Xenopus tropicalis: one gene and its partner. The protein of the gene in region 1 purifies or fractionates together with the protein of each later gene. This does not show direct contact. Links are inferred from orthologs where the notes say so. Each region holds a gene or a part of one and is shown in the gene's direction. Other genes may lie near its edges. The genes, in order: ocrl and plekhj1.

Region 1 (15,721 bases):
AGGTGAACCTCCGCCCCAGTCTCAAGTCTTTTGCAGACTCCAAGAGGTTTTCTTCCAAGATTGCCCTGTATTTGGCTCCATCCATCTTCCCATCAACTCTGACCAGCTTCTCTGTCCCTGCTGAAGAGAAGCCCCCCCAGAGCATGATGCTGCCACCACCATATTTGACAGTGGGGATGGTTTGTTCAGAGTGATGTGCAGTGTTTTCCGCCACACATAGCGTTTTGCATTTTGGCCAAAAAGTTCCATTTTGGTCTCATCTGACCAGAGCACCTTGTTCCACATGTTTGCTGTGTCCCCCACATGGCTTGTGGCAAACTGCAAACGGGACTTCTTATGGTTTTCTGTTAACAATGGCTTTCTTCTTGCCGCTCTTCCATAAAGGCCAACTTTGTGCAGTGCACGACTAATAGTTGTCCTATGGACAGATTCCCCCACCTGAGCTGTAGATCTCTGCAGCTCGTCCAGAGTCACCATGGGCCACTTGGCTGCATTTCTGATCAGCGCTCTCCTTGTTCGGCCTGTGAGTTTAGGTGGACGGCCTTGTCTTGGTAGGTTTACAGTTGTGCCATACTCCTTCCATTTCTGAATGATCGCTTGAACAGTGCTCCGTGGGATGTTCAAGGCTTTGGAAATCTTTTTGTAGCCTAAGCCTGCTTTAAATTTCTCAATAACTTTATCCCTGACCTGTCTGGTGTGTTCTTTGGACTTCATGGTGTTGTTGCTCCCAATATTGCCAACTTTTCCTTGCAGATCTCTTCCAATTCAGAGATCTTGGGCCATCTTGAATGATCTAGCCACGTACTGTCAGGCCATTCCAAAACTTTCATCTTACTTTTTTTCATGTAGCTCACGGTGGCTTTTGCAGTATATTTAGGGTCATTGTTTTGTTGTAGGAGCCATGCCCTTTTTAGGCTCTTGGCTGACTGTTTCACCTTGGCATCCAGATGTTGCTGATATTTAGTGTAACTTCTTTTTCCTTCCTTCCTACACATACAATGTTTTTTGTGCCACTGGCTGCCCCAAAACTCCAAAGCATAATTGATCCACCCCATGGCAAGGTGTTTTTTCACCACATGCTTCTGTTTTTCTCCAAACAAACCTCTGGTGATTGTGGCCAATGAGTTAAATTTATCAACAGTGCTTGTTTTCAAAAGGCCTCTGGCTTGTCTAGATGCTGTTTTGTTTACCTCTGTAATTGACATTTGTTATTTGGTCGCTGGTCCCTACTGACGACTTTCCATTCCAAATCATGTTGAACGGTACAACACCACTTATTTGTCAGCCAAGACCCTTAATACAAATGGGGTGTTACTAAATACTTCCTAGGGTGCACAAGCTTATACCCATATCCCAGTTACTATATTTTTGTTTCCTATGATTTAGGAGAAAAAAAATTAACTGCATTAACATTTGCAAATATGTTGCTTTAAGCAATAGTTGTCCTACCTTTCACTTTCAAATAAATATCTAATTTGGAAAGGTGGCCTAAACATTTGTATTCAGCTGTATAGGGTAAAGTCTAACCTAATGATCAGTTCTAGTGCTCAACGTTGTGGGTACATTGTATAATATGTGTAAGAACTGCTAATATGAAATCTACACAAAAAGCAAATATTTATGCAAATTGCAAAAGTTTTTACTTTACCCAATATGTCCCCTTTAAACAGATCGACATAGGATCTATAAATCTGTCTTTAAGACATGGCCACAGATGTATTTAATGGTTGTAACACAATGTAAATGACAGGCCAGAAGGTATGCAAGCTAATAGCTGGGGCATGTACAAATTCTTTGTCACACTGCAGAGTAAGTCTGTTCATTTGTGTAAAGCAATTAGTATCACTTTAAATAAAATGCCCATAAAAACACAATAACTGACCAGGAATGGAACCTCGGCCTCTCGTCGTACATTGTCTTACCCACTGAGCTGCTGTTTCAATGTGAAAGTAGCTTGTATCTTTAACTTGATATTTTATAGAGATTCTCCACTGTTTGATTTTTTAATGTGACTTTCTCTGCAGCATATATAGCAAGTGCTACAGTAGTTATTAAATCTCTGTATTCCCTTAGGAGAAAGCGGCTCTGCAGATGCTTCCACTGGAAAGTGATGAGACAGCTGACAAGCCCATGAAAATCCCAAAGGAGATCTGGCTCTTGGTCGATCACCTATATAAAAATGCTTGCCGGCAGGTTTGTTAGGGGGCGCATGGGTCTTTTCTTTACAATATCTATAAAACACACATCAGCAAACACTTTTTAGTTTGGTTCCTCAATGCAGTATATTAACATTGTGCTTCTCAAGCTGTTGTGAGTGTGGTTGTACCAAGGGTAGTCTTCAGCCCCTGCTGCTTGTCCTTTCCAAAGCCTCCTCTCTCAGCACAAACTTTGCAGTGCTCCATGCTGTTCATTTTAAATGATACTTTCCTTTTGTGCCCATAATTAGTTCATGTACTTATTGGTTAAATGCAGTAACCCATAGCAACCATTCAATTCGGATTGTACTGTCATAAGCTGGCCAAGAGGCCATACCAAATAAGATCAGCTCATTCAGGTAGGGTCATCTTGGCTCAATGATCAGTTGGGTCTGAATGGCAGAGCTGAGTACCACATCCATGATGAATGTATTTCTTACTTATTGTAGCCAGTCTTAAAATAGCTGACTGAGCCCCAACCAACAAATGTTTTTTTTTTTTTTTTTTTTTGCATGTTTGTGTGTAGGCAGCCATCTCAGTGCATTGTGCCTGAGTCTAAGCTTTCAAAAAGCATTCAAAAAACATTAAAACTGCTTTCAGGTAACCTTTTGTTTCTCCTATTCCCATGTAACTGGAGGAGTCACAAGCCGGACTTTGATTTCTTACTATCGAGTGCTATTCTGATATTCTGGGAGCTGCTATCTTGCTTATCTTCCCATTGTTGTGCTGATCGGCTGCTGGGAGGGGGGCGAAGGGAGGGGAATCTATAGCCTATAGAATTCCTCTTTCTGCTTTTTATAGGTAGTTATAGTTACTAATTAAAGTAAAAGGACATGTGTATTTACCAATTCAACCATAGAATTTCCTTAACAGAGAATTCTCTATACAGTAGTTTTAGTGCTCTTTTGAAGCACCCTATACAATGAAAGCAATATATAAATGCAGATAGAGTAAATATGCTGTGTGTGTGCAGCACAAGCTGTCCCCTTATACTCTACACCAGAGGTCCCCAACCTTTCTTACTCGTGAGCCACAGTCAAGTGTAAGATGACTTAAAGAGCAACACAAGCATCATAAAAGTTCATGGAGGAGCCAAATAAGGGCTAAGATTGGCTATTAGGCAGCCTCTATGCACGCTATCAGTTTACAGGAGGCTTTATTTGGTAGTAAATCTTGTTTTTATTCAACCTAAACTTGCCCCCAAGTCAGGAATTCAAAATAACTACCTGCTTTGGGGGCACTGAGAGCAACATTCAAAGGGTTGGTGAGCAACGTGTTGGGAATCACTGCTTTACACAGTCTATAAAGGAGTATCTATACACACAGTTTTTTTTTATATCCTCTTTGTTGTTTTACAGGAGGATCTCTTTCAGACCCCAGGAAAACAAGAGGAATTGCAGCAGATAATTGACTGTTTAGATACCAGCATTCCTGAAACAATTCGTATCCTTAAAAGGCTGTTATTGTATAGAGGTCGTCGTACTTTGTGTTCATTCATTTAACATAAACTGCTAAATATAACTTTGGGCCCTCCCTGTCGGGAGGGGCAGAGCATGATGCCTAATATTAATGACCAATGTAAAAGTATAATTGTTGACATGATTCCTCTATTTAGACAGACCTTAACTCAATCTCTCTAGCTGGTAGTAACCATTCGGTTGCAGAAGCATTACTGATCTTTTTGGAAGCACTGCCAGAACCAGTTATTTGTTATGAACTGTACCAGAGATGCATTGACTGCTCCCATGATACCCGACTTTGCCGACAGGTATGTACAATGTAGTTACAGTCCAATAGCTTGTATTCTTGTGGCAGGTAAGTGCATTCTCTCCATTTATTTATATCAAGCATATTTTATACCCGAACAGCCCTATTTGAGAAATAAACCTGTCATTGCTTAACACGTTTTTCAGAGAGATGTTGGTTCTCTTAAGACCCATGGCACATGGGGCATTTTCTCCACCAGTGTTTTTCAGCTGCCAGCAAAGTACACAAACATGGCCTTGTAGCTGGTCATGTAATTGAATGGAGTACCACTTCTCCTTATAGATTATAAGCTCTTTTGTGCAGGGCCCTCTTACCTCTTGTATTGGTTATTGGTTGCTTTGTGTGTAATTCTGTATGTATAAAACCATTCATTGTACAGAGCAGTGGAATATGTTGAAACTTTATACATACATACATGTTAATAATAATAATGGAATCCTCCTGTTGCTCAGCTGTAACAGGTCTTTTTTCCTGCAGGTATTTAATACAGGGATTTAATTCACGTTTATGAGAGGCTTTGTGGTCATATTCCAGCACTTTAATGCCAGCACTTTATGTGGGGGTTATGTGATAACATTCTCAAACTTTGCTTCAAATTTTGTGACTCACAGTATCGGTTACTAAACCTTTTAGCAATCTTTGTGCTTTTTACATTGCCAACTTGTTTCTGCTGGACATATATTTATGTCTCTGAGAATATTCAATATACTTTATGCTTAGGCACCTTTTTTTTTTTGGTTCTTGACCCCTGACTCTTGCTCTGCTGCTTATCTTTTTACGCATAGGTGATTTCTCAATTGCCGCGGTGCCATCGAAACGTTTTTCGATATTTAATGGCATTTCTCAGAGAGCTGCTTAAGTACACTGGAGACAACAACCTGAGTGCCAACATGATCGGTAAGGGCTTAGGATAAGTGAGTGCATGGGCATCTTTTATTCTTGTTGCATTTATATATAAACAGGGCATACATCTGCTAAGTATTCAGTAACATAAGGACCTTTCTGTGCAGTACTTGTGTAATCTGTAAAATACCCACTACAACCAGCCTAATCAAGATCATAGCAAATTTCTGTGTGACTGTTGGGTTATGCCAGCATAGAGGTTGTTGCCACCATTCCCCTTCCCAATTTCAAATATCTTTTTTTATCTTTTGTTATTTAAACAGCCACAGTCTTTACTAGCCTCCTGCTACGACCTCCGCCAAACTTAATTGGGAAACAGACACCGAGTGAACGGCAGCGGGCAATCAATTTCATTCTGGGATTCCTTTTGTCAGTTGATGAGGAGTAAGCCATATCAGGACTGTAAGGAGTGCTGTAGAGGATAAAAACAAGTAGGCACTCGTGCCAGGCTGCTACAGAGCCAAGGGACTATGAGTGGGAACATTGCATGGGGTTCTGATATCCTTATGGCAGGGAGAGAGAAGCCTATGCCAGTTGTAGTACTGTACCTATGCTTTTCCCACATAGTGTATACAATTATCTCCAAAGAAAGGACAACACTTCCTAGTTGGTTTATCTGTACAAGGTGTGGATTTGTTTTCATTGTCATTGTGGAACACCGGTCACCTTGTATATTAGCTATGGACCCACCCCTCTTGGTCAGGCTTCTGTCAGTCCTATCTTGAACAGTGGTGCCATTGTCACTGCTCTTTGTGGCTTTTTTCCTGTTAAAGTGATCTTTTTTGTTTCATTTCAGTGTATTATAGTATGTTGGAAGATATGAACTTCTTCCCATTCTGCCTCATAGGATCACATGATTTTAGGTTTGCACTTGGCAGGGATAAGCAGCCATGTTCATTCTCCAAGTTCTAAGTTAACTGTTCATGGTCTGTGATTTTTTTTTTTTTTTTTTTTACTGTATTTAAATATTTTCACCTGAAATTTGTTGGTATACTTGTTGACTTGCCCTTGCCTCTTGGATAGTCTTTCTTATACTTGCAGATAAGAGGGCTGTGATGAAAATTGAAAGCACCTTAGAACCAAGCCAAAGGTTAATGACATTTCTCAGCCAGTGTTCAGCGGATCCTGGCATTGCAATTATTACATAAAAAATCCAGGAGTATTACTGACAGGGTTCCTGGCATATGGAATTCTATATATCAGTGATGCCATCTGCTCAGCAAAGTCTTATAATGGTGGGAAGTCCTGATTTTAGTAGAATTGCATTAGACAAGCTGCACTTTACCCATGATCTGCTCTATATGAGCTTCCCCCTTTACACATGCATATCCATGTAACCTAGAAAGCACACACAGCTTCACTGTGACTTGGGTTCCTCGCTGCCTTGGTTTCTGTTTTTATGAACTCCCTGTTCTTTCAAGTAAATATTCCCAAAGGTACGGGCAGGGGGTGCATTTTAAGGTTTATTTCCCCAGGAGGAGTGTTAGTTTCCTGCAGGCAGTGGGCTGTTAGTTCAATGGCTCTGTGCTATTGTATATTAGAGGAAATTATAACAATCAGAGGTGTACACATGGGCTGTATGCATGAATGAATAGCAAGTGCTTCCAAGTGCAAACTGGTGCTCCGCTCATAAGATGCTAAACTACAATTATCACGATTCTACAATGTAATTTGGCAGTTGTACTTGTGCAGTGCCTGGATCTGAGGTGGGTGTCTTTACCTGCATTGGCAGCAGATTCCCCCATGTAGCCCAGGGGTATTTTCCATAAGATGAAGTGTCTTGCTAGCAAGCTGTGCACAATGTGCTCTTTTATTTGATAGTAGGTTGTTTTAGGCTTCAGGGCTATGACATCTGGGACATTTTTACCAGCACTAAAATTAGACAGAAAATAGCACACATAACAGTGCACAAACGCTCAGGCCTTTCTCAGTGGGGGTCCCCCTATCAGCGCTATTAACCAATGACCATTTTGTCTGCCACTGTTTTACCCCTGATCACATTGATGGTGCATACTGCTCCCTGCATACTGCTAGGCTCAAGTTTACTATTTTAATATTTTTATTCTGCAGAAAGGTCAGACACTACATAAAATAAATACCTTTCTGTGTACATGTACGCTCTCCACTCACCATGGTATCTGTGGGTTATTCATACAGCCAGGCAGGGCTGTCATTCACTAACACTAAGTCGGATATCTGCAACCTTCGGCTCCTCCTTGACTTTTGTTCCATTTTGCTTTTTCTACAGAATGTTTCCATTTATATTATTATTATATATTACTATAATTCAAAGTGTCGATGTCCAAAGTATTTTAATTGTGAAAAATGACCCCTGTTCTCTCTTATTTATGCTTTTTTTCATGCATGCTACTTTCTCTCCCATTGGTTAATTGGGCAGCTAAGTGTGTTATGGGAAACTGTCATACCTATAAAATGCAGCCATGAATGATGAGGGAACTAATAATGTAATATTAACGTAAATTACATATTTCAAAATCCATAAGCCATAATAAAAGATTCCGCCATGCATAGATGAAGCCACCTTCTCTTAAATGGGAACATTTTAATATTCAGACTGAGAGTCAGTGTATCTTTAATTCTAGTACTTTAATGGGCTACACCTAGTTTGGGTCATACTGGACAGTTATGCAGCAGATCAACTAAAAGCCACCAGACCTGATTTGTCCTAGTCATCCTGTAAGAGTTTAACTGGTTATTTTAAACACATTACCAGAGAACTGACCATGGGTGAGTAAAAGGCTACCTGTTTGATCATTTGCTTGTTGAATATGGAGCTACCAGGCTAATATACCTGCTGCTACTAGTTCCAACCTGAAGCTAATACAGTGACTGAATGGCATTTATCACTTAATATGTTGGTCATGATGGTCATGCAAAGCATTGACAATTTGCCTTTGGAAGATGCCAGGGCTCTGTATAGCAGGTGCTGCCAGAAGCCATTAAGGAACTTGGTACCCTTAGCTAATGTCAAATAAAGTAGTTCACCCTCTGCCCCAAATCATGTCTCTTGCGTGGTACCAATAACAAATATAAAGTTAATAAAATTGTGGATGAATGTAACTGAAACACATATACATTTGCATTTTTGCTTTATTACTGTGTCAGCATATTTTAGTGTTTTTAAATAACCAATTCTTTTTTAAATGTTCTTTTATGAGTATGGATGTTAAGAATGTATAGGAACTACTAAGAGAGCAACAATGAGAGTTGACTTGCCCAAAAACGGAGGGAAAGCAAATTCAATTCTAAGCAACTTTCCAATATACACTAAGTACAAAGTGTCACTGATTTTTTAAATGGATGGTTCACCTTTACATTATACAATGATAATCTTGGGCTATTTGCCTTTTATTTATTGTAGCTTTCTAGTTATTTAGCTCTCTGTTCGGCAGCTCTCCACTTTGGAATTTCGTTTGGATACTACAGTGTTATTTTCCCTAACCACCAGGCAGTAATTTGAACCAGAAATGGGAATATGAATAGAGGAGAGCCTAAATAGAAAGATAAATAAAAAGCAACAATAACAATAAAACTGTAGCCTTACAGAGCAATAGTTTTTGCTGGGGTCAGTGACCCCCATCAAAAAGCTGGAAAAATGCAGAAAAGGAACACAAAAATAAGACAAATTGCAAAGTTGGAACTAAACATTGTAACAATTGGACAAATTGTAACCACATATTTACAGTTTACATACATCATGCAGGGACTACAAAACCCACAATGCATTTCACTATGATGTCCTTTTCCTTATTGACATCACGTGTGCAGGGAATTGTGGGATTTGGATGATGCAGGTTGAGGGCAGTCAACTACTATTTGTTTAGGGGTTTTTGTTTTTTTGAGTCAAAGTAGTCAGGCAGATCAGCAGGAGAACAGGGTGCCAGGCTTAGGTAATTGCAAAGTTGCTTGAAATTATGTTTACTTTAAAAAAAGCTTACGTTTCGGTGGAGTTCCCCTTTAGGAAAATGTACTTTAGAGCTCAGTTATAATTGTAATAATTTGTTCCCCACAATGTTTAAAGAACCAAGTAATGACCTGAAACATCTGTATGTGCCTGGTACATGGATCTTATCGCTCTCAAGAGGAACTTTTGGATGTGTGTTTGCTGGCTGAATAGAAATATCACCCTTTTTCATATTTATTGTGAGCAGATCCTCCAAGCATTCTCCAATTCAGAAATTCAGCTTGTCGCTATCAAGCAGTGATACAAGGTTTCTGCTTTATTGAGTAGATAATCCATTTGTGTGTATATATATTCATTTTTGACCATTATAGTTTGAAACCACTGAGCACAAACCCTCCAATTCCGTATATAACTGTTATGAACTTGCTCTTCATCTTGCCAGTGATTTATTGCCACTGTCTTGTTTCCTCCATGGTACTTGCATTCATACAGGGCTAGTCGCAATTAGTTGGTCAAATGGATATTCTTATCTCATAATGTCTACCTTAATGTAATTCCCTGCCATACTTTATTAAATCTGTTTGTTTACCCAGTCAGTGGTCTTCATCCAACAAGATTTACCAACCTGGCAGGTACGAGTTAGACAGGCTCTTAGGAGGGCCCCATACATGAGCACGTAAGCTACCTGCTTGCTCTGAAGGGGCCAAGTTGGCAGCTTTTATTGGCCAGTGTATGGTCTGGTTGAGCCTTCTTCCATGCGAATAGGTAGTTAAGTCAAATACCATTTCAAGGTAGCAGTGCAGTAAGTAGTAATTATTTATGCCATGTGACTTGCCAGACAAATGTTTTGGTCCTGTGGGTCTATATCTGAAATCCCCAGCCATAAAGCAATACACAAGTGTAGTTTTCTGCCAGACAGGAAAGACACTTATACACACCCCCTAAAAATATTTTCCAGACTTGCACTAATTGTATTAAACCTTTTTTCTCTTTTTTATATAAATATATATATATATATATATATGTATATATATATATATATGTATATATATATATATATATATATATATATGAAACACTTTTTATTTTGAAGTCCATATGCGTTGATTGTTTTTATTCCACCTTTTTATACACTCCAGTAGGATTTCTGGGTTCATCTTGTCATATTTACCCATCCTAAAGGCTCTAGTGCAGGCGTCCTGTATCTCGCTGTAAGTGAGCCTCCTTCATACGAGCTAGGCAACTCCTCCTGTATCTTTCTGTCACTGTTTTATTTTTATATATAGGAAATAATTTATTTGGTAAATAAGATGTACTGAGCAACAATTGTGCAATCAATAAAGTACTTTTATGTCATAAACTGGCAGCACCGTCTCCTTTTGTAGCATGTTTCCCATGGCATAGGCTGCACCGGCACCCAGTGTCAGGCTCACTTACCAACACAGTAACCCATAACCACCAGTCAGTGACTAGCTGTGATCAGACAGCTGCAGATAGAACAATGAAAGGAACGTTTTAATTGGTCTGCATGGCCTATGTATGGCCAGCTCAAAAGGGGCGTATCAGCTTGAAATGAACTTTTAGTATAACATAGGCCAAGGTATTCTAGTTTGAGCTGTACACTGTTCTGCCACTTAGCTCAGCAAAAAGGGCTGATCAAGTAGAACTTCAAATCAGAATGGTTTGTGTGTGTGTATGTATGCAGTAATCCTAAGGTGTCTGCAGTCATACCCATTAAAGGTAAGTAAACCTTTAAAATATTATTTTATTTCAAGATTATAAGATATTAAGGGGAATGTGTACTGCTAATATGAATGAATTTTGTAGAACAGCGCCACCTACTAGTCAGTTTCTGAAGGGTTTGGCATGAGAAACAGGGGCGATTCTGGACATATCGCCGCCTGAGGCGGCTCCTGGATCCCGCTCCCCAGCGCTTACCTTCTGAGCGCAGGAGCGGGTCCGGGGGCGGTGAGATCGCTAGTTCAGAGAGCTCAATTGCGCTCTCTGCACTAGAAGAGCCAAATTTCCGTTTTAAAAACTGGAAATTTGGCTCTTAAAGTTACCAGGAGCGGCTTTTTGCCGCCCCTGGTAACTGGGGCGAGTTTCTCAACTCGCCTAATGGCAGAAGCGCCCCTGATGAGAAAGAAAGGTCTTATCTGAAGAACATCAACCGAGCTCATTCTCCTGACAGTTTCCTTGATATTAGATCACAGCTGGAAACTGACCAGCAGGTGGCGATGTTGTGACAAAATTAATACTAACTGTATACATTTCCCTTCATATCTTGGAATCCTCAAAAAATAGTCTTTAGAATAGCACTCTCGTCAATTTTACATTCACTTAAAGGTTTACCTATCCCTTAATGTTGCATCCAGAAGGGCTACCCATGGTTTTGCATACCATGGCCACTTAAAAGGGGTTGTTCACCGTTAAATAAACTTTTAGTATAATGTAGAGAGCTCTATTCTGAAACAATTTGCAATTGGCCTTCATTGTGTTTTATTTGTGGTCTTTGAATGATTTAACTTTTTGTACAACAGCTCTCCAGTTTGGAATTTCAGCAGCTATCTGGCTGCTAGGGTCCCAATTTAACCTAGCAGCCTGGCAGTGATTTGAAAGAGAGTATCAATAGAAGAGGCCATACATAGAAAGATAAGTAATAAAAAGCAAAACTCACAGCAATAGTTTTTTGGCTGCTGGGGTCAGAAGAAGGCAAATAATTTAAAAAGTATTTAAAAAAAAAAATGTAGACCAATTGAAAAGTTGCGACGAATATGCCATTCTGTAACATACTAAAAATTAACCTAAAGGGTGAAGCACCCTTTTAACTACCAATTTATCTGTGTGGGTGACCATATTATTGTAAAACATTGATCTTATACAGAGAGCTCTATGGAGATCCTGGGTATGCTGTGAGCTATAAAAAATATAGTAAAAGCCTTCAGTTGGACAGCCCTGATTTAAACCTTAGCAGCGCTCACTGACCAGTAATGGTTTCCTTGCTTTGTAACAGACAGAGCTATGAGCAAATGGGATCTGCACCCAAAAATTCAGGCTATGCTTAAAGGGGATGTGAAGTCAGTAAGAAAATGAGTCGGAGTTGTACTATTGACATTTACTTCAGTTTTTTTTATGTTGAACCATTAAAAGTTATTAGCAGCTTTCTACAGCCAACTTACTACTGGGGTCTTTCACATGTGATTTTACATACAAGCAATCTTTCCAACTGCTCTCACATATACAGTACACTGGAGATTTGCACTGGGCCTTAACCTCTTAATCATTCTTAAACAGAGGGGACTGAAAACATAGTAGCGCTTTTGATCTGGCAGTCCCCTAGGGTTAAGACGACTAAGAGGCTCCTTAGTTATAGAAGGACTTAATGGGGAACTATCATAAATGGGAACCTGCTTAACTTGGCTCAGTACTGACAGGCAGCTTGTGTTCTGAGCAGAGAGGATTGGGAGTGGTTCAACCATTCTTGACTGACTAACGTTCAACCCCAACCTGTGAATCCAACATACAGGAGTCTATGTGCCTGTACACACACACCGTTACCTGTGCAGAGAGGTCTGTAATATTGTTGCACTTGATGTGTCACTGGTATGGAGGAAGTCTCTTATACTCTCTTTTGTTACCCCTGTATCTGGCTATTAAAGTAAGATATGTATCTGTGTGTGTAAATTGCAGGAGGGTGACTGGCAACAAATCTAAGCCTGCTGGTGAGCAGCACAAACCCCAATGCAAAGGAGCCCGAAGTGCTGTGTATATGTGGATAGAAAGGATAGAAAGAATAAGCTGCTTTACTGTTATATGTACAAATTCAGCTCCATCAGCGCCCAGCCCAGCTCCATTCCTTTACCTTCCCTTTGCACATATTTGCTGTTGAGGGGTGTGGCCTCATGACATGCTACAGCAAATCAGCTTTCCCTCTGCTCTGTCACTCACACATTTCTGCGTCACTGATGCCATAACATTGTAACCGTGCAAAAATTTTAAAAGCTATTAATTGTCAAAATGTTTGTCTAGACTTTATATTTTCAATATTTTCATTTAATATTTTCATTTAATGTATTCTACTGTACAGCGCTGCATACATAAGTAGTGCTTTATAAATAAAGATATATATACATACATACATACATACATACATGATAGTTCCCCTTTAAGTTCCCGGGTTAAAGTATTCTCCTGGCAGTTCAGGAACTGGCCAGTAGGTGTCGCTATTTTAAAGCATATTAGTAAGAACAACGTTTTTGAAATCCATCTGGACAGTCTGGTGGGACATGATAATATACTACAACTGATAGTAGAGCCAGAGAAAGGATATCCCTTGTCATATATGACACTAGGGGGCCTATTTATTATGCTGTGTATATAAAATGATGGCAAAATTCAGCACACATCGCCAGGATTTGCTGCTTTAAAAAAAAAAATGCATTTTTACTGGAAATTACATAAAATAATGCTGCAAAATCTGCTGTTCAGACAGCGAAATTCAGCATTTATTTTACACAACTTTTCACACCACTTCTTTGGCGATTCTTGCTTTACACAGCATAATAAATAGGCCCATAGGTGTGATACCCCAGATTACAGAGGAACTTGGGGCATATTTATTGCAATGTTTAAGCCAACATCACTGGTGAGGTTGCCCATAGCAACCTGTAAGTAATTAGTATTGATCAGTCACCTACAAGTTAAAAAATAAAAGCATTGCTATGGACAGCGTCTCTGGTGATCTTGGCTTACACGCTATAATGTGTGTCTGTAGGAGACCTGGGGACTACTATAGCTCACATAGGTTCCACTTGAGAGGAAGCCTGAAAACTGGGAGTGTGATACTTTCGAGTTGAAATAGTCCAGTGTTCAATGACTGATCCCTAAGGGGAAAAGTACTATTTGTGAGTATATGTGGGAAAACGTATCATAACTCTTGGGCCTACTTCTTCTGTGACTCCTGTTAATAAAGCCTTTGCTGTTTAAGTGTAAGACTCACTGGAGCCCAATTTACTGCCTCTGTCCGAGAGATATAGTTCTACTACACCCTCTCCGCCATACACGTGGGCCCATTCCTGATGGTTGAGAGTAGCGTGCATAATTTGCTGATTAAATGGATAATTCCAGGAGCACTACGTGCCTCCATTTAACTAGCACCTTACAAACAGACTCACAGCCCTAGAAGATAGTGTTTATTTCAGTTGAATATCATTTTATTTATACACTTAATGCCTTATATCAAAAATTGGTGCAGCAGGCTGCTATTGATGCCAAATTGACAGGACAAATTGTAACTGCTACTCTCTCTATTCCAGGTACATTTTACATTTCTGAATATACGCTTCATGTGACCTTGCCCTAAAGTGCAGTTCTCCATTAATCTGAAACACAGACCATTGCTGGTGACAGTATCTTACCTTTCAGAGAATACTTAAGGACTGGCATGTACAAAAAATAATTCAAATGTAATTTAGGTGTTGAATAATGGGCCCCTCTTTATGTGTCACCCTGTGCAAACTAGAGTTTCCCATTATGGTGGATAATATGAAATAACAGATTATGTATTGGCCTACATAAAGAAATGAAGGGGTAGGTCTTGAACTAAATAGCCTTAAGGGAGAGAGATAGGGAGAGTCTGGGGGGCTTGGAGTGGTCATGGTGATAATACAGATTCCTATGGGATACAAGTCCACTACAGAGGCCAAAAGGGTCTCCTAGCAGACAAACAGACAAATGGCCCTGAAGAAAAAAAAAAAAAACCACAGACTTTAAACAGAACATGCTCTGAAAAATAGTCATTCCTAAAATTGCCACAAACCCTATGAACCTAATTTGTAGTTTCTTACAAACACCCATAGGTGACACTATAGCACTGTTGGTCAAGTCTATTACTGCACATAATCTGTTACTACAGGAGGGGGAAGCCTATTTCAGGTTATTTCTTTGCACTTGCATCTGGCACCCAATAATGAACCCAGAAGATACTGGCGCTGTTTCTGCATCGTTATATTACAGTCCAATTATTCTTATTTGATTTTTTTTAAGTATATCTTCCATTGATTAGGGACACCCTCATGATTACAAATACTAATGGAAATACTGACTGAATGAGCTGTTTCATTAAACCTCCTAATTCAGCAACACTGGGAATTGCACAGTATGTGTCTGTTTATGTATTTCAGATACAGTAGAATGGATTCACATGCTGGCTGATTTTCACTAACCCATGTTTGGCCATATAATAAGAGCTTATGCTGGGAAATGGGAGTCATCAGCTCCAGCAATGTAAAGTAAAGTAGCCATACATATAATATAATGACATTAGAAGCCACCTTGGAATACTTGTATTGCCCGATTCATTAGGCCAAATCTTTATACGAAATACACAAAAGCCATATCAATTGTAGTCTGTATACAGGCCAGTGTTACTCTGTTGATATGGCAGACCCATAGCGACAGTTAAATGTGGTGCCGCTCTGGGACTGTTTTTCTTCAACAAAGACTGGGCAGCTTGCTAAAATATACGTATAAATGATTGAATCAACCTCCCCAATCCCACTGTTGCTCCTCTACCAGTCCTGAACTGAAAGGTCAGCTCCTATAGTTGACCTTTGCTATTGGCTCCATGCAACAGGATTAACCCCTAAGCTCCCATAATACTGCCTATGCATATCACCTTACAGTACACATGAGCTCTATGCAAAAGATTAACCTCCCCAGTACTATAATAGTGCCCACCTCAGTCAGTTCCCTGCAGCTGCCTGTGTCCCCGAGATGCTCAGGTAAATCAAGTGAAGAGGACAGGTGATTACACCTCTTTTATATTTAATATACTGTAGCTAGGGTTGCGTTAAATTCCACAAAAAAGTCATATTTTTCTCGAAGATTATCACCATTTCAGAATTCATTCAAGCTTCGGTATCATGATTAT
Region 2 (16,365 bases), on another chromosome or scaffold:
GGCGAGCTCTGATCAAAAGGAAAAAAAAAAGTAAGAATGTCTGCAACTGTTCACAAAATGATCTTTAATAAGACAGTGCCAGAGAAATCAGTACAGCAATTTGACACAACTTAAAATGTTTAAAATTAAGGAGAATTAACCATTCCTCTGCCACACCTCTCGATCTGAGAGGTTAAGAGAATGGAGAAAGCCAGAACATTAAAACCTATGGCTCTGGCAGTTACTCCCTTGACTGCAAACACCATACCTTTTATGATCTACCTGCAGCAAGCGGTTAATAACTGTAGATGTTGTGCACAAACCCTGACAAGATGCATGGAGGACTGGTTTTGGTTGGAATTAAAAATGGGTTGGGTGGTTTCCTTTCCTACAATTATCTGTCAAGTTTGGGTTTAGGAAGGAATTCCCACCACAACGTTCAACTGAAGTACAGTTTGGGGGTGGCTATGTTTACATTCTTTAGATAAATAATGGAAACTTTGACTTGACATTGCTGTGTTTTTTAATGCATAAAATCAGCACATTTAACTTACAAATTTGTCTGATGCTTTTTTCCTTGTGTATGAGCCAGATAACTCCCCTACAGAAAGAGAAGATACCAACAATGAATGGAGAAGCAAGTGGCATTTTTGAGTAAATACATATCCTTTCAGTTAGTTGCATATGTACTTGAAAGTGGGTTATACTATGCATTTGTGTAACTCTTGAATACCCCTTAATAGCATCTAAGAGAGTCAAAATGAGTGAGCATGTCACAATAAAAAAAATAAAATTATGCGATAAGAAAATGACCTTTATGCCTTTTAAACCAATAAGATTTTTTCTTTTAAACAGGTGACCAGTAAATGCAACCTGCTAATTGGTTGCTATAGGTCACAGCACCTGGGCAAACTCAGTGCTTTTTATTACATAATCCCATTAGTGTCTAAACGCACCTGCCAGCTCATTCTATTGAACTTTTGCAACACAACATACCACTGCTTTGCATTTTTAGCCCCAGCTATTTTGGAAATTCCCAGTAGCTGCATAATGTCAAAGTGATTTATACATTTGCAATTTTAATATCCCCAACTTTACTCATAAACATTTACTAGATGTATTACTACTTAGTTTGAGTTATTAGCTCAAAGTCTTTGCATTGCCAATATATTTTCAATTCAAAAGGCACAGATCCTTCTCACAAACACTTACATTAATACCAACCATTTCCATCATGGCCCTTGTTTATGTGCCCACTTAGGCATGAAATGCACAAGGCTATTTGCATGCTGTTTTTGTAAATAAACTACTTTTTATTTGCACATTATCTACACGGTGGATGATTATGAGTGCGTCCTCATATTAACTGATGTTTGGAAGGGCTGGGGCAATGACAGGTATTAATGAAACAACTCAGCATCTACAGGTCCTTTTCAAAAAATTAGCATATTGTGATAAAGTTCATTATTTTCTGTAATGTACTGATAAACATTAGACTTTCATATATTTTAGATTCATTACACACAACTGAAGTAGTTCAAGCCTTTTCTTGTTTTAATATTGATGATTGTGGCATACAGCTCATGAAAACCCAAAATTCCTATCTCAAAAAATTAGCATATCATGAAAAGGTTCTCTAAACGAGCTATTAACTTAATCATCTGAATCAACAAATTAACTCTAAAAACCTGCAAAAGATTCCTGAGGCTTTTAGAAACTCCCAGCCTGGTTCATTACTCAAAACCGCAATCATGGGTAAGACTGCCGACCTGACTGCTGCCCAGAAGGCCATCATTGACACCCTCAAGCAAGAGGGTAAGACACAGAAAGAAATTTCTGAACGAATAGGCTGTTCCCAGAGTGCTGTATCAAGGCACCTCAGTGGGAAGTCTGTGGGAAGGAAAAAGTGTGGCAGAAAACGCTGCACAATGAGAAGAGGTGACTGGGCCCTGAGGAAGATTGTGGAGAAGGACCGATTCCTGACCTTGGGGGACCTGCGGAAGCAGTGGACTGAGTCTGGAGTAGAAACATCCAGAGCCACCGTGTACAGGCGCGTGCAGGAAATGGGCTACAGGTGCCGCATTCCCCAGGTCAAGCCACTTTTGAACCAGAAACAGCGGCAGAAGCGCCTGACCTGGGCTACAGAGAAGCAGCACTGGACTGTTGCTCAGTGGTCCAAAGTATGTCATTCGGAAATCAAGGAGCCAGAGTCTGGAGGAAGACTGGGGAGAGGGAAATGCCAAAATGCCTGAAGTCCAGTGTCAAGTACCCACAGTCAGTGATGGTCTGGGGTGCCATGTCAGCTGCTGGTGTTGGTCCACTGTGTTTTATCAAGGGCAGGGTCAATGCAGCTAGCTATCAGGAGATTTTGGAGCACTTCATGCTTCCATCTGCTGAAAAGCTTTATGGAGATGAAGATTTCATTTTTCAGCACGACCTGGCACCTGCTCACAGTGCCAAAACCACTGGTAAATGGTTTACTGCCCATGGTATTACTGTGCTCAATTGGCCTGCCAACTCTCCTGACCTGAACCCCATAGAGAATCTGTGGGATATTGTGAAGAGAAAGTTGAGAGACACAAGACCCAACATTCTGGATGAGCTTAAGGCCGCTATTGAAGCATCCTGGGCCTCCATAACACCTGAGCAGTGCCACAGGCTGATTGCCTCCATGCCACGCCGCATTGAAGCAGTCATTTCTGCAAAAGGATTCCCGACCAAGTATTGAGTGCATAACTGAACATAATTATTTGAAGGTTGACTTTTTTTGTATTAAAAACACTTTTCTTTTATTGGGCGGATGAAATATGCTAATTTTTTGAGATAGGAATTTTGGGTTTTCATGAGCTGTATGCCACAATCATCAATATTAAAACAAGAAAAGGCTTGAACTACTTCAGTTGTGTGTAATGAATCTAAAATATATGAAAGTCTAATGTTTATCAGTACATTACAGAAAATAATGAACTTTATCACAATATGCTAATTTTTTGAAAAGGACCTGTATATGCTATAATACTAATCAAATGAGCCATTTTTACATGGAACTTTACTTGTCATGGCCATCACAGGGGACTTGATTTTAAATGCACTACAGACTTAGAATACTAATAGACAGTGTACAACTCACATACAATGACGGGCCTTGACATGACCAGTGAGGTTATATATTTTGGCCAAAGTGTGGTACTAACACATTTTTTTATAAAAACTATTTTTAAAGTCAAAATGAGTGCTTGCAATCTTTCTCCTTCAACTTACCTCATTATTATGTAGGGTGAGGCAAAGCTTGCATTCGTAAGAGCCAAGGTGGTTTTTCATAAAGTATGGATCCTATAAAAAAAATATATATATATTTTAAATTAAATAATTGTTATTAATGCAACCCTAGGTCCCTCTTAAATATTTATAGTACCTTATTAATGTCAATAGTTTCCAAAGCAAGTTGTCTGAGTCGCTCCCTTCTGTCTCTGTTACTTTCAGATGCAGAAGCCACCCCTCCGCTGCCGGTCTTTCCTCCGGCTCTGTGTTGGAAATCCATGGTTGGGGATTGTCGAGGATACAAGCAAGATCAAACACCTGACGAGAAATTCAAACTTAAGTTACCCACTGAAGCAAATGTTTCAAAGCAAGGGCTATGATGTTTTCATAACCTTAAGGCTGATGTCAGACGTAGCGTAGGGCTGATATTTTCGGCAAGCGGAAAATGGCGTGGCGAAAATACAGCCCTACGCCTGCTACTTGTGCCTGCACCCGAATGAATGGAATACGCTCGGGTGCAGGCACATGTAGCCGATATACGCATGAAAACGTGAGAGAATGCAAAGTCTCGCGTTTGTATTTTCGCCAAGCGTTTTTCCGCTTGCCGAAAATATCAGCCCTACGCCACGTCTGGCATCAGCCTTAATTGTAGCAGTGGTCAAAAATGGGCATGCAAACATTTTTTAGCATAAGTACAAGACGCTAAGCATCCTGTGCTACATTCCATTTAACTCAATGTTAAAGGAGAGATATCATATATATAAAATAAGAATATACCAGTGAATTATACTCCTCTAGATATAGAAGGATTGTGCTTAAAAAAAGTTGTGTTCCACCACAACCCCACTAGTCCCGCCCATCTGCTCCACTTCCTGCTGGCTGAATTCTCTTTATGTGCAGGGGAGCTGGCGGCTCTCAGTACACTGCATTGTAGGATAGGAACTAATCAGCAGTTAGGCTGATCTGATTGGGAACTGAAGCCTGTCTTTGCTTGTGTGAGTGCAAGGCTGTGATTGGCTATCCCCCTCCTGCTGTGCTTCTAGCAGGGACCATTATGGACACGCCCACCCTTCATTTGAAACACGGACAGAGAATGGATAGGATCTATAGGGAGGTCCAATAAAAGGACCATTTTTAGATAGGATTCATTTTTAGCCCAAAGTGAAACCAGTACCATATATTATTCATAGTTGCCTACAAAATTAGGGTTTTTCCCATTTATCCAATGTGTCTCCTTTAAAGGATTTGAATAGAGGAGTTTTGCTTACTGCTACTAGCAGCAGCATTCAAAACACTGCAAGTACCATGACCCCAAAGTGGTAGATTTCATACAGGCAGGAAGGTTTTAAACTCCTGCCATCTCAATCCAAGGGTATTAATATGAGGTCCACTCTTTACTGCTTAAATATCCTCTACTCTTCTGAGATGTCTTGCCACTAGATATTGAAACATTGTTTGTGGGATTTGCTTCCATGCAGCCCAAGAGATTTAGTGAGGTTGGGCATTGGTGTTGGCTCCCAATCGGTGTTCAAATTCATCCAACAAATGGCTATTTGAGTTGAGATTATGTGGTTGTTTAGGAAGGTTATTCAGGTAAGTAAGCTTTTTCACTTACAGGTAAGCAAACCCATTATGTATCGACTTTAATTTGTGAATAGGGACAGCACTGTGCTGAAACAGACAAGAGCATTCCCAAAACTGTTGCTACAAAGTAGTAAGCACAATGTTATTGTGCGCAGTAGCCTTAGATTTTGCTTTTTATATATAACAAGGTAAACAAGCCAAACCATAACAAAATATCCCCACTCAAGTGTTTCACTGGCATCCACAAAAACCACAATAGTTTTTCAGACTGCCAGACAGTGAAGTATAAATTGCCACACCAGAGTTTCCACTGTCCAGTCCAATTGTACTGAGGCTTTGAAGCTAAACAGACATCATGAACTAGTATAAACAGCTATTAAAATAATGCCCCAATCCACTCTAACCAATGCAAATGTGCAGTATACGGCTTGCTGCTATTAATTTTTGCTCCTGCAGTAGAGCTGCAGATCTGGACTGAATTACCAACTTAAATGATTATATGCTTTGTGATTCTTCAGAAGCTTGTGAGTAGCCTTCATTCATTATATTGGCGAATCTTCTTTTTTTTTATGTAACACACTGAATGAGGATTTGGTGTTCATCATGAGTAGTGAAACGTCTTCAATGATTACTTAACAAGTCCAGTTGCTTTAGATTTATTTATACTAGATATACCATGACCTGGATGAATGAAAATCTTCATAGTCATAAGCCTACGCATTATATTGTATACCTGCACTTATAAGGCTGATGCCACACCAGGCGTAGGGCTGATTTTTTCGGCAAGCGGAAAAACGCTTGCCGAAAATTCAGCCCTATGCCTGCTACTTGTGCCTGCACCCGAATGAATGGGATACGCTCGGGTGCAGGCACAAGTAGCAGGCGTAGGGCTGAATTCTTGCCGCCCTACGCCTGGTGTGGCATCAGCCTTAAGCAATGCAACACACCTGAGTAATCACAAACACCTGTGAAGCCAATTGTCCCAAACATTATGGCACCCTGTATAAAAAGTCATTTTTTCATGATGAAACTGAAATGTATGCAAATAACTTTAAATGAAAGTCTGGAATGTGCACTTTAATCACATCTGAATTGTTTGATTTCAAATGTTAAACTTAAGGGCAGAGGGGTAAATCAAAGAAAAATGTGCCTTTGTCCCAAACATTGAGGAGGGCACTGCCCACATAGTAACAATCTGCATTTGAAACCCATGACCCCTAACGCCTAGATATAATTCCCAGTCCCATTTATGGACTCCCTTTGGGATGCACAGTGGTTTAGGAGGTATAATGCATTGACGATTCAAATCAGCATACAAACTCTGCACTGCTCCATTGCCTCCAGTCTAAATGAAACACAGACCCTGGATAACTGCAGTATCCTAACTTTCACTGGATATTTGTTAAAACTCAATGTGCTTTTTTTATTTGGAAGGGAAACAGTCTTTTTAAAAAAAAAAGGGTAAGAAACAGTACATACATTTTTAAATAAACAACCGAGATACATACAAATCTAAGCGGCAAGAAGCACTCCAACGTGCACAGCTTGCCTTTAAATGGAGACACCCACAGACCATTTCCATAAGCAAGGAAGTTTATATTTGCTAGATAAGGAACATAACGTTTATGTTTCTTTGTACAATATCCCCCATCTCCCATAGCGCCTTACCTCTTGCACCTCAAACTCGACGTTCCCCCACTCCGGATTCTAAACCGGAAGTAAGAGGCAAAGAGCCGTACGACGAGCGAGAGAGGACGGAAGTGTGCAGAAAATACCGGAAGTGACGCCAACGGTGTGTATAACTTTATTAAGATAAACAGAGTTGTTCATTCCTGGTGCTAGACAGCTATCAGCCTTATTGCGAGTTTGTGTATAATGTGGAGTCTATAATTGCACATGAATATTAGTTTAAAGGTTTGAACTGTCCCCTAGTGAGTTTGACTCCGCTTGCTTCTTTTGTGTAGTCCCCGGCTGTTCCGCAGCCTTTCTTCCGCCCGCGGCGAGTCCCGGGCAATGCAGTTGGCTGAAGATGCGCTACAATGAGAAGGAGCTGCTGTCCCTCTCTAGGCAGAGAGCAGAGAAAGCGGCAGAGCTGAGTATGAGAGGCCCGAAGAAGGGGAGCGGTGAGTGATTCCATCGTGCAGCCCTTGCCACTTAACATTGTAAACTTCAACGTGGAAGAATGTATCATTTCTGTAACAAGAGTTGGCGCAATAACAAATTGTGGAGCAAGTTAAAGCAACTGTGTACCTTGCCCTGTAGCAATTAGCTGTCAGATAAATATGGCAGATTTTTAAAGACGGAAGCTGTGCAAATAAAGAGACATTAGTTGATAGACTGTTATGCTAAATCATGAAGAAATGAGCACCCTAAAAGTATGAGGAGTTAATACTGTCATAATTCTTACTGTGCCTATCATATAGTTGTTGTTATTAGCACATATTTGTAAAGCACCAACCTACTCCGCAGCTTTATCAGATATACAGGTTACATACAATTACTGACATGCAGTGAAATAAGATATTCAGCTTCATGCTAGACACGTAGCACTTCCTTAAATCCAAATAGAGGCATTAACCCTCACTTATGGAATCATAGGCAGAGACAGGCAAATGATTCCTCTATGTCCCTATGGCCAGAGCCTCTTGCTCAACAGCACAGATACAACCCAGTAAATCTAAGCCATATAGCCAAAGCAACATGAAGATATTTGCTTGTAATTTACATCCATAAAATTCCATAAGGGAAAGTTAAAGGAACAGTAACACCAAAAAATGAAAGTGTATAAAAGTAATAACAAGATAATGTACTGTTGCCCTGCACTGGTATAACTGGTGTGTTTGCCTCAGAAAGACTACTATAGTTTATATAAGTAAGCTGCTGTGTAGCCATGGGCGCAGCCATTCAAAGGAGAAAAGGCACAGGTTACTTAGCAGATAACAGATAAACCCCCATTATATGGGGCTTATCTACTAGTTATCTGCTATGTAACCTGTGCCTTTTCTCCTTTTTTCCAGCTTGAATGACTGCCCCCATGGCTACACAGCAGCTTATTTATATAGTAGCATGTTCATCCATTTTACTAACGTTAAGAGCTAAATCGTCATACATGCAGGTAAAAACAAAGGAATTCTTTACCCCTATGTGATGATTCAGGATTAACATTACAATGTTCTGGCACCTTCAAATGTGCTTGATCAAAATTTTCAGCCCTGCTGATCCACAAGGTGACCAATATCCAAGGCTGTTACTGATATTGGTTGCCTTGTCTCCCACCATACATGCACTGATGGTGGGTTTTATTATTATTTCTTTCTTTAAACAGGGCAAAATCTAAAATTGACAGTTAAGTCAGATTCTACTTCCTGTTTGCCTGAGCACAAGCAAAACAAATTAGAAGCTCTTTGTATAAACAAACTCCTCCATTCCCTCATCTGAAAGGTTTGTTAGACTGAAATAAAGAGCATCTTATAATACAGAGGGATTCACGGTGTAACCACTATTCATTAAACTAACGTTAAAAGGGCAGTATACGGCCCCTTTAACAAATTCTCATTTTTTTTTTATGTTAAGAGTTAATTACAGCAAGGATCAGTAACTGTAGCATAATGTCATTTGATGAAGTCAGAAGACAGAAAGGAAAAAAGAAATCCAAAAGTACTAGATCAGTTTTTTATAAGAGCTTGTTGCCATCCTTCTTAAACTCCCTAAATAGAAACTAAATACTGAATAGGCATGTGATATGTTTCAGAAATTAACTATATTTCTTTCTACAGTACTGAAGAAGCGCCTGGTAAAATTGGTTGTGAATTTCCTCTTTTATTTCCGCATAGATGAGGAGGAGGTAGGAAACAGTAACTAAAATTTCAATTATAAGTTTTACACAGTACTGGGGTAAAGCTATACATGCACATAAGCCAGCATTTGATTTTTCTCTTGATTTAGATCCAGAATACTGGACAGTGTATATAACTAAAACTATAACTTACCAGATCAATATATGATCAAATATTAATTGGGAAGGGTGGAAGAATTATGTTGGCAGCAGACTGCATTGTGTAGTGCATTCAGGTGCCCCTCCCAACAGATCTACAAATGTTCCCGCTTTGAGACCTTTGGTCTGGGATATAAATGGCCGCGTCAGCTTAACTTTTCCTAATGCAAGATTGGTCAAATATAAAATATACATGTTTGGTGAGGTTTCCAAATGTGTGTATACAAATATCTTTATTTATAAGTCCTATTTATATACTCAGCACTACACATTATTTCAATATAGCAACAGCACAGACAGGGACCATATATATAACAATAAATATACACAGTTACAACATTGAGTTACATGTGTTGAGACACAGGTGGAAGGAGGTCCCTGCCTTGTAAATCTAACAAATATAGTTAGCTTTACATGTAATTCCCTCTCTTTACATCCCCGCTCTGAAACTTACTTGCAACTTCACTGTTTCTCTGTGTGGTTAGTTAATGGAGTACAGTCATTAATAGATAAGAAAATGCCTTGAAATAGAGTCCTGCCCTGCACAGAACCAATATTTTGAAAGCTGCCTCAAACCCGCATTTTAACCTTGGAAGGCAGCTTGGACCTGCTACCTAACCCGATCCGCAAATGCCTTACCCGTAACCCAATCCATGAGGGGCTGACCCGCATCTATGCCTGCATCCAAAAATCCTACCCGCAACCTTTAGGGAAACCCGCCTTTTATGCAGTGTATCCACGAGTATCTGACCCATTGCAGGACTGTACCTCGACACCTGCTATTACTGTTGTTGTTGCCTATATATCTAACCTCAAATCTTTTTCCAGCTTCCTAATTACCCATCATTTATTCCATTAACTAGTTTTCCCATTATGCATCAAGCCCTGACACTAATATCTACATTATCCAGTCATTATGCTATTTACAAAGACACAAACACTTTCTTTAGCTAATGAGACTTCCTCAAACTTCATTGAACTTTTTCTGCATCTTTTACTGCTAGACCTAAACTCACCTAACACCACTTGCTGGTATGCTTCACCAGTACTTTTTAACAGCTGCTATTACTCTGTGTTTTAGCCCATTGGAGCTTTGCTGCTGGAACACTGCAGAGTATCAAAGGAGGATGAAAAAGGATTTTCCATACGTGAGTATCAGATTAGGTTTCCCTAATCTTATTGTATACTACACAGGATGTTTTGTGGTATATTTTAAAAGTTACCATATTACTACCGATTTAGTTTGACATATTACTGTGACACAGATGTGGCCTTCATATAGTAAGAATGCGCAGTTCTTTTCAACATATTATAAACGTTCACTAGAATAAAAACAAAAATCATTTTCACTGTGCACTAATTTGTTTGTACAGGTACTATACTGTGGGGAGTCTATAAGTACTTAAGCAGACATGAAATTTGGACAGTTTCTTTCTTTCCATAGCTATTTAAATATAGCAGCAATTTCCCAACTGCAGTGGGCACATAGGGGTATATTCAAAGGAGTGAAAATAATGCTTGCTACAGTCCCTCAGAGGGAGATTTTAAAGCTCTTCAGTTTCAAGGTTTTTAGGGGTATAGTTATTAATCCTATATAAGTGCTTAGAGAGTTGGGAGTTCCCCTCTGGTGAACTATGGTTAACTTTTCTCACTTTCTTAGGGCCATTACAGATGGGCATCCCTCCGCCCGCTACTAATCTCCCCGAAATGCCATCCCACCTGCCTTGAGAGGAACTTCGGCAATTTCGGCGCCGTGTATGCCATCCCACCGGCAATTTACATTCTTGCCGGTGGGATGGCATATCAGGGAGATTAGTCGCCTGCGACAAGGGAGATTTGTCACGGGCAACTAATCTCCCCATGTGCCACAGCCCTTAATCATGTCAGTTGGAAATGATTCAAAGCTGATAGCAGGTATTTTGACCATCATCTTCACCTAGTTAGAAATCAGTGATTTGTAATTCAGCATCTACATTTATCTGAACCATATACAAACACTTTACTGCAGTGGTCAGCTGAAGATGATTTATTGTTGCTTATATAAATGTATATTTTGCTTGAAATTATTTGAACTCAAGCTTTAATGCAAAATGGTGTTCTTGGAGGTAGACTTCTGCATGGGTCCAATTTCTACCCTATTGACCCTCCTATCTTTACCCAATCCCACCTGCTGCTTACCATGGATAATGTTGCCAACAGAGGGGGATTAAAAAGGAGTAAATGCGTTTATATTGAGAACCTTGACCCAACGACTTGCATAAATAGCTAGACCCTCAAGCTTTACCTTAAAAATACCTGCATTTTTGTGGGTCATCTCCTGGTCCCTAAACCAATGTTTGTGCCTGAAAGTGCCACACAAGCAAGAACAACAGGACACTGACTGACTTTGTATTAAATTCTAAAAAGCTTACATATTGAGCTTTAAGAGTTAGTATGATATGTGTGCAGTGTAAAATTAAGGACTTGGTAGAATCAATAGATACAGTGGTGTGAAAAACTATGTGCCCCCTTCCTGATTTCTTATTCTTTTGCATGTTTGTCACACTTAAATGTTTCTGCTCATCAAAAACCGTTAACTACAGTTTTTAAATGAAGGTTTACGTTATTAAGGGAGAAAAAAAACTCCAAATCTACATGGCCCTGTGTGAAAAAGTGATTGCCCCCCTTGTTAAAAAATAACTTAACTGTGGTTTATCACACCTGAGTTCAATTTCTGTAGTCACCCCCAGGCCTGATTACTGCCACACCTGTTTCAATCAAGAAATCACTTAAATAGGAGCTACCTGACACAGAGAAGTAGACCAAAAGCACCTCAAAAGCTAGACATCATGCCAAGATCCAAAGAAATTCAGGAACAAATGAAAACAAAAGTAATTGAGATCTATTAGTCTGGTAAAGGTTATAAAGCCATTTCAAAAGCTTTGGGACTCCAGCGAACCACAGTGAGAGACATTATCCACAAATGGCAAAAACATGGAACAGTGGTGAACCTTCCCAGGAGTGGCCGGCCGACCAAAATTACCCCAAGAGCGCAGAGACAACTCATCCGAGAGGCCACAAAAGACCCCAGGACAATATCTAAAGAACTGCAGGCCTCACTTGCCTCAATTAAGGTCAGTGTTCACGACTCCACCATAAGAAAGAGACTGGGCAAAAACGGCCTGCATGGCAGATTTCCAAGGCGCAAACCACTTTTAAGCAAAAAGAACATTAAGGCTCGTCTCAATTTTGCTAAAAACATCTCAATGATTGCCAAGACTTTTGGGAAAATACCTTGTGGACCGACGAGACAAAAGTTTTTGTTCAGAAGTTCAGAACTTTTTGGAAGGTGCTTGTCCCGTTACATCTGGCGTAAAAGTAACACAGCATTTCAGAAAAAGAACATCATACCAACAGTAAAATATGGTGGTGGTAGTGTGATGGTCTGGGGTTGTTTTGCTGCTTCAGGACCTGGAAGGCTTGCTGTGATAGATGGAACCATGAATTCTACTGTCTACCAAAAAATCCTGAAGGAGAATGTCCGGCCATCTGTTCGTCAAATCCACCTCTGAATGGCTGAAGAAAAACAAAATGAAGACTTTGGAGTGGCCTAGTCAAAGTCCTGACCTGAATCCTATTGAGATGTTGTGGCATGACCTTAAAAAGGCGGTTCATGCTAGAAAACCCTCAAATAAAGCTGAATTACAACAATTCTGCAAAGATGAGTGGGCCAAAATTCCTCCAGAGCGCTGTAAAAGACTCGTTGCAAGTTATCGCAAATGCTTGATTGCAGTTATTGCTGCTAAGGGTGGCCCAACTAGTTATTAGGTTCAGGGGGCAATTACTTTTTCACACAGGGCCATGTAGGTTTGGATTTTTTGTCTCCCTAAATAATAAAAAACCCCATTTAAAAACTGCATTTTGTGTTTACTTGTGTTATCTTTGACTAATAGTCAAATGTGTTTGATGATCAGAAACATTTTGTGTGACAAACATGCAAAAGAATAAGAAATCAGGAAGGGGGCAAATAGTTTTTCACACCACTGTACATACAATTAATATACAGTATTGAAGTTGCCATTTTGTTAAAGCTATCCATTGTAATACAAAATACAGACACAATCTGTATTAATTTATTGTCTAAATCATAGTCTTGACTGTTAAATGCAAGTCAGGGAAAAGTACTTGTATCCAGTACAGAATCCAGGAAGAAAACACGTTATTTGTATGAAACATAATTACACTGTTATTTTCTTGTGACAGACTTTATAGATGAGCCAGAAAAAAAGTACATGTTCGAGTGCAGTAGCCAGGAGCAATGTGTAGAGTGGGTAGAAGCTCTAACCAATGCCAGGTAGGTCGCATCTGAATAAAACATGGCAGACCTGCTGCCAACTGTATTTAGCGAATTTTAATAAATCTGCATTGTTCCACACACTGCAAAATATGAATATTACATAGCACTGCCACAGCATTTGGGGTTCTTCTTAGCTTTTATATGGTGCTGACATATTCTGAAGCACTTCAGAGAGATTCTGCATCTTTTACATAAGACTGTTCACCAGCAGAGCTTACAATCTAGGGTCCCTATAACATTCACACTCATAGGAGGAACCAGACTTCCTGGAGGAAACACATTCAAGCATTGGGAAAACATACAACACCCTTGCCCTGGCTGGATTTGAGCCTAGGGCCACAGCCCCTAGCTGAACATTAATACGAAAAAACTGGATTTTACATCACATGCAAGCATGCAGGGAGCGTGTCGGGCTCTAGGACACAATCAGTATGCACGTGTGTGTGCCCCAGCATGGCTTCCTGTGGACCATCACAGTATTCAAACTATTTGATTAAAAGATCTGATAAGAAAAAGAGATATTGCTTTTAATAGCAATTACATTTACACATAACTTTAAAAACATTGAAAATGTGTAATATGGAAAAGTTGATAAGAATGACATTTTCTTTCATTAAGAAAAAAAAAAAAAAATATTTGGGGTGGAGGACCCCTTAAAACATGTAAGAATCTCCAGTGCGGGTTACTTATGGCAGCATTTTGGCTGTTAAACAGTTAAATAACACAGGATGTAGTAGATTACAAAAATGTATAGCGGTTTTGAAGCCTTTAAAATTTTCTGTCTTTTTATAGAAATGTGACCTAAAACCTCATCTAATTTTCAAGCTGCTTTTTTTTTTTTTTTTTCAATAAATACATGTTCATATATAATCATATCAGCATTTGTTTGAAAATCATATGATGATTTAGGTCACATTCATATAAAAATATAGAACATTTTTAGGGTTCATAAACTGTCCTAGATACTGCACCACTGTAACTAGGATATATTATCAACCAGGCATATTGTCAGCAAAATAAAGATTTCATATCCCTAGAGTAGGAAGTTCTAACTGTACATTTTGTGTTATTTGTACTGACAAATACCGTACTGACAGCCTTCTACAGTTGTTTATTGCAGGCATCCTACATATACCCTCAGGTTTAGCACATCGAGCACATTGTAGGCTTAATTTGCCCTTTATCTTTAATATTACATATACTGCTGCCTGAGTTATGTGCTTTGTTTCAGCAATTAGTTTCTTCCTTTCTTTAATGACTTGAGACCTTTTCAATATATAACAAAAATACAGGTATGGCACCTGTTATCCAGAATGCTTGGGGTTTTCTCATATACGGGGGTCCGTGGATCTCTCTATAACTATCTACTAAAAAAATAATTTAAGCATTAAATAAACCCAATAGAATTATTTTATAAGGATTAATTACATCCTTAGTTGGGATCAAGTATAAATTTCCATACTGTCTTATTACTACATAGAAAAAGGAAATAGTTTTTTAAAATTTGCATTATTTGCTTAAAATAGCCTCTGTGGGATATGGCCTTCACATAATTTGAAGCTTTCTAGATAAAAGCTAAAACTTGTATATTGTGACAGGATAAAATGCTGCACTCCCTAACAAGTGGGCAATTATAATAACTCACATTTTAAGGGGCAGATTCATAAAAGTACGAGTTCGAATCCCGAAATGGGTAAAATTTGGATTAGATATGATCATTTTTGATGATTAAAAATGTCATGAAAATGCTTACGAAAAAAATCGTATTCGTCACGATAATATCAATCGAAAGTCACAATTTTCATATCCGAACGATCAGAAACGGCGGGGAAAACTTTCTGACTTTGATTCTTCTGTGCATGTTTTTGAAAGCCTCCCATAGGACTCAATGGCACTCTGCAGCTCCAACCTGGCCCAAGGAAAGTCTCCCATAGGGCTCAATGGCACTCTGCAGCTCCAACCTGGCCCAAGGAAAGTCTCCCATAGGGCTCAATGGCACTCTGCAGCTCCAACCTGGCCCAAGGAAAGTCTCCCATAGGGCTCAATGGCACTCTGCAGCTCCAACCTGGCCCAAGGAAAGTCTCCCATAGGGCTCAATGGCACTCTGCAGCTCCAACCTGGCCCAAGGAAAGTCTCCCATAGGGCTCAATGGCACTCTGCAGCTCCAACCTGGCTCAAGGAAAGTCTCCCATAGGGCTCAATGGCACTCTGGGAGACTTTCCTTGGGCCAGGTTGGAGCTGCAGAGTGCCATTGAGCCCTATGGGAGACTTTCCTTGGGCCGGGTTGGAGCTGCAGAGTGCCATTGAGTCCTATGGGAGACTTTCCTTGGGCCAGGTTGGAGCTGCATAGGACTCAATGGCACTCTGCAGCTCCAACCCGGCCCAAGGAAAGTCTCCCATAGGGCTCAATGGCACTCTGCAGCTCCAACCTGGCCCAAGGAAAGTCTCCCATAGGGCTCAATGGCACTCTGCAGCTCCAACCTGGCCCAAGGAAAGTCACGATAACGAAGCTTTAACGAAATCGAAACTTTCGTACTCGGCGCGACAAATACGATTGTCAAAAATATGCAAAGTACGAGAACTTATACGATTTTTTTTTGTATTCGGATTCAATCGTACTTTAATGAACGTGCCCCTAAATGTTGCACATAAAATATTGAAATGTGGTTTTCATAATGGTTCTTCTTAGTCATATGGTCACATTCCGGGCTTCTACAGAAATGTGTTAGTGTCACTTTAGAAGCCTTTTGGCACTAATCTAATGGAATTATCTAATAACAGACTAAATTTGTGCAGTGTAGAAACCCATAGCAATATATATAATTTTTTTTTTTTTTTTGCTGCAAGAATGTTTTCTAAGGATATTATGTTAACTTAATCTTTAATCAGGTGATGTTTTTATTTTAGCTATGAGTTTATGAGGAGAAGCCTAATGTTTTATCGCAATGAAATCCTGAAGATGACAGGGAAGGTAAAAAATTAAAAAAAAAAAAGGGGGGGGAAGCAAATACTGGCTCCCAAACTTGCCTCTTTGGCATTTGTCTCTACAGATGACTCCTTTAACATATAACTTATTCTTCCCACAGGACCCACTTGAGCAGTATGGGATTTCTGGAGAATCACGTTTCCAGTTAGAGAATGCCAGCTTGTGAACTAACTCTGGATCCAGATACGAGACCTGCAGCTTTGTGCATTTCTACCCATCACACAG

What was found.
Region 2: the proteins of ocrl (region 1) and plekhj1 purify together in Homo sapiens (co-immunoprecipitation; 3 studies listed by BioGRID and IntAct, counting the BioPlex papers as one, with this or other methods). This does not show direct contact. The link is inferred for Xenopus tropicalis from reciprocal best matches to the Homo sapiens genes OCRL and PLEKHJ1.

The regions. Positions count from the first base shown.
Region 1 is NC_030684.2:52,467,657-52,483,377, reverse strand, and holds the end of ocrl (inositol polyphosphate 5-phosphatase OCRL), read left to right. Parts: intron 1-2,073; coding exon 2,074-2,193; intron 2,194-3,553; coding exon 3,554-3,638; intron 3,639-3,835; coding exon 3,836-3,963; intron 3,964-4,747; coding exon 4,748-4,859; intron 4,860-5,128; coding exon 5,129-5,253; 3' UTR 5,254-10,150; downstream 10,151-15,721. UniProt on the Homo sapiens protein: Catalyzes the hydrolysis of the 5-position phosphate of phosphatidylinositol 4,5-bisphosphate (PtdIns(4,5)P2) and phosphatidylinositol-3,4,5-bisphosphate (PtdIns(3,4,5)P3), with the greatest catalytic activity towards PtdIns(4,5)P2.
Region 2 is NC_030677.2:102,626,837-102,643,201, forward strand, and holds the start of plekhj1 (pleckstrin homology domain-containing family J member 1), read left to right. Parts: upstream 1-6,667; 5' UTR 6,668-6,853; coding exon 6,854-6,947; intron 6,948-8,600; coding exon 8,601-8,668; intron 8,669-9,899; coding exon 9,900-9,966; intron 9,967-13,060; coding exon 13,061-13,151; intron 13,152-16,061; coding exon 16,062-16,125; intron 16,126-16,240; coding exon 16,241-16,306; 3' UTR 16,307-16,365. Other genes in the region: sf3a2 (splicing factor 3A subunit 2), read right to left, coding at 1-8, 534-580, 3,241-3,312, 3,395-3,520.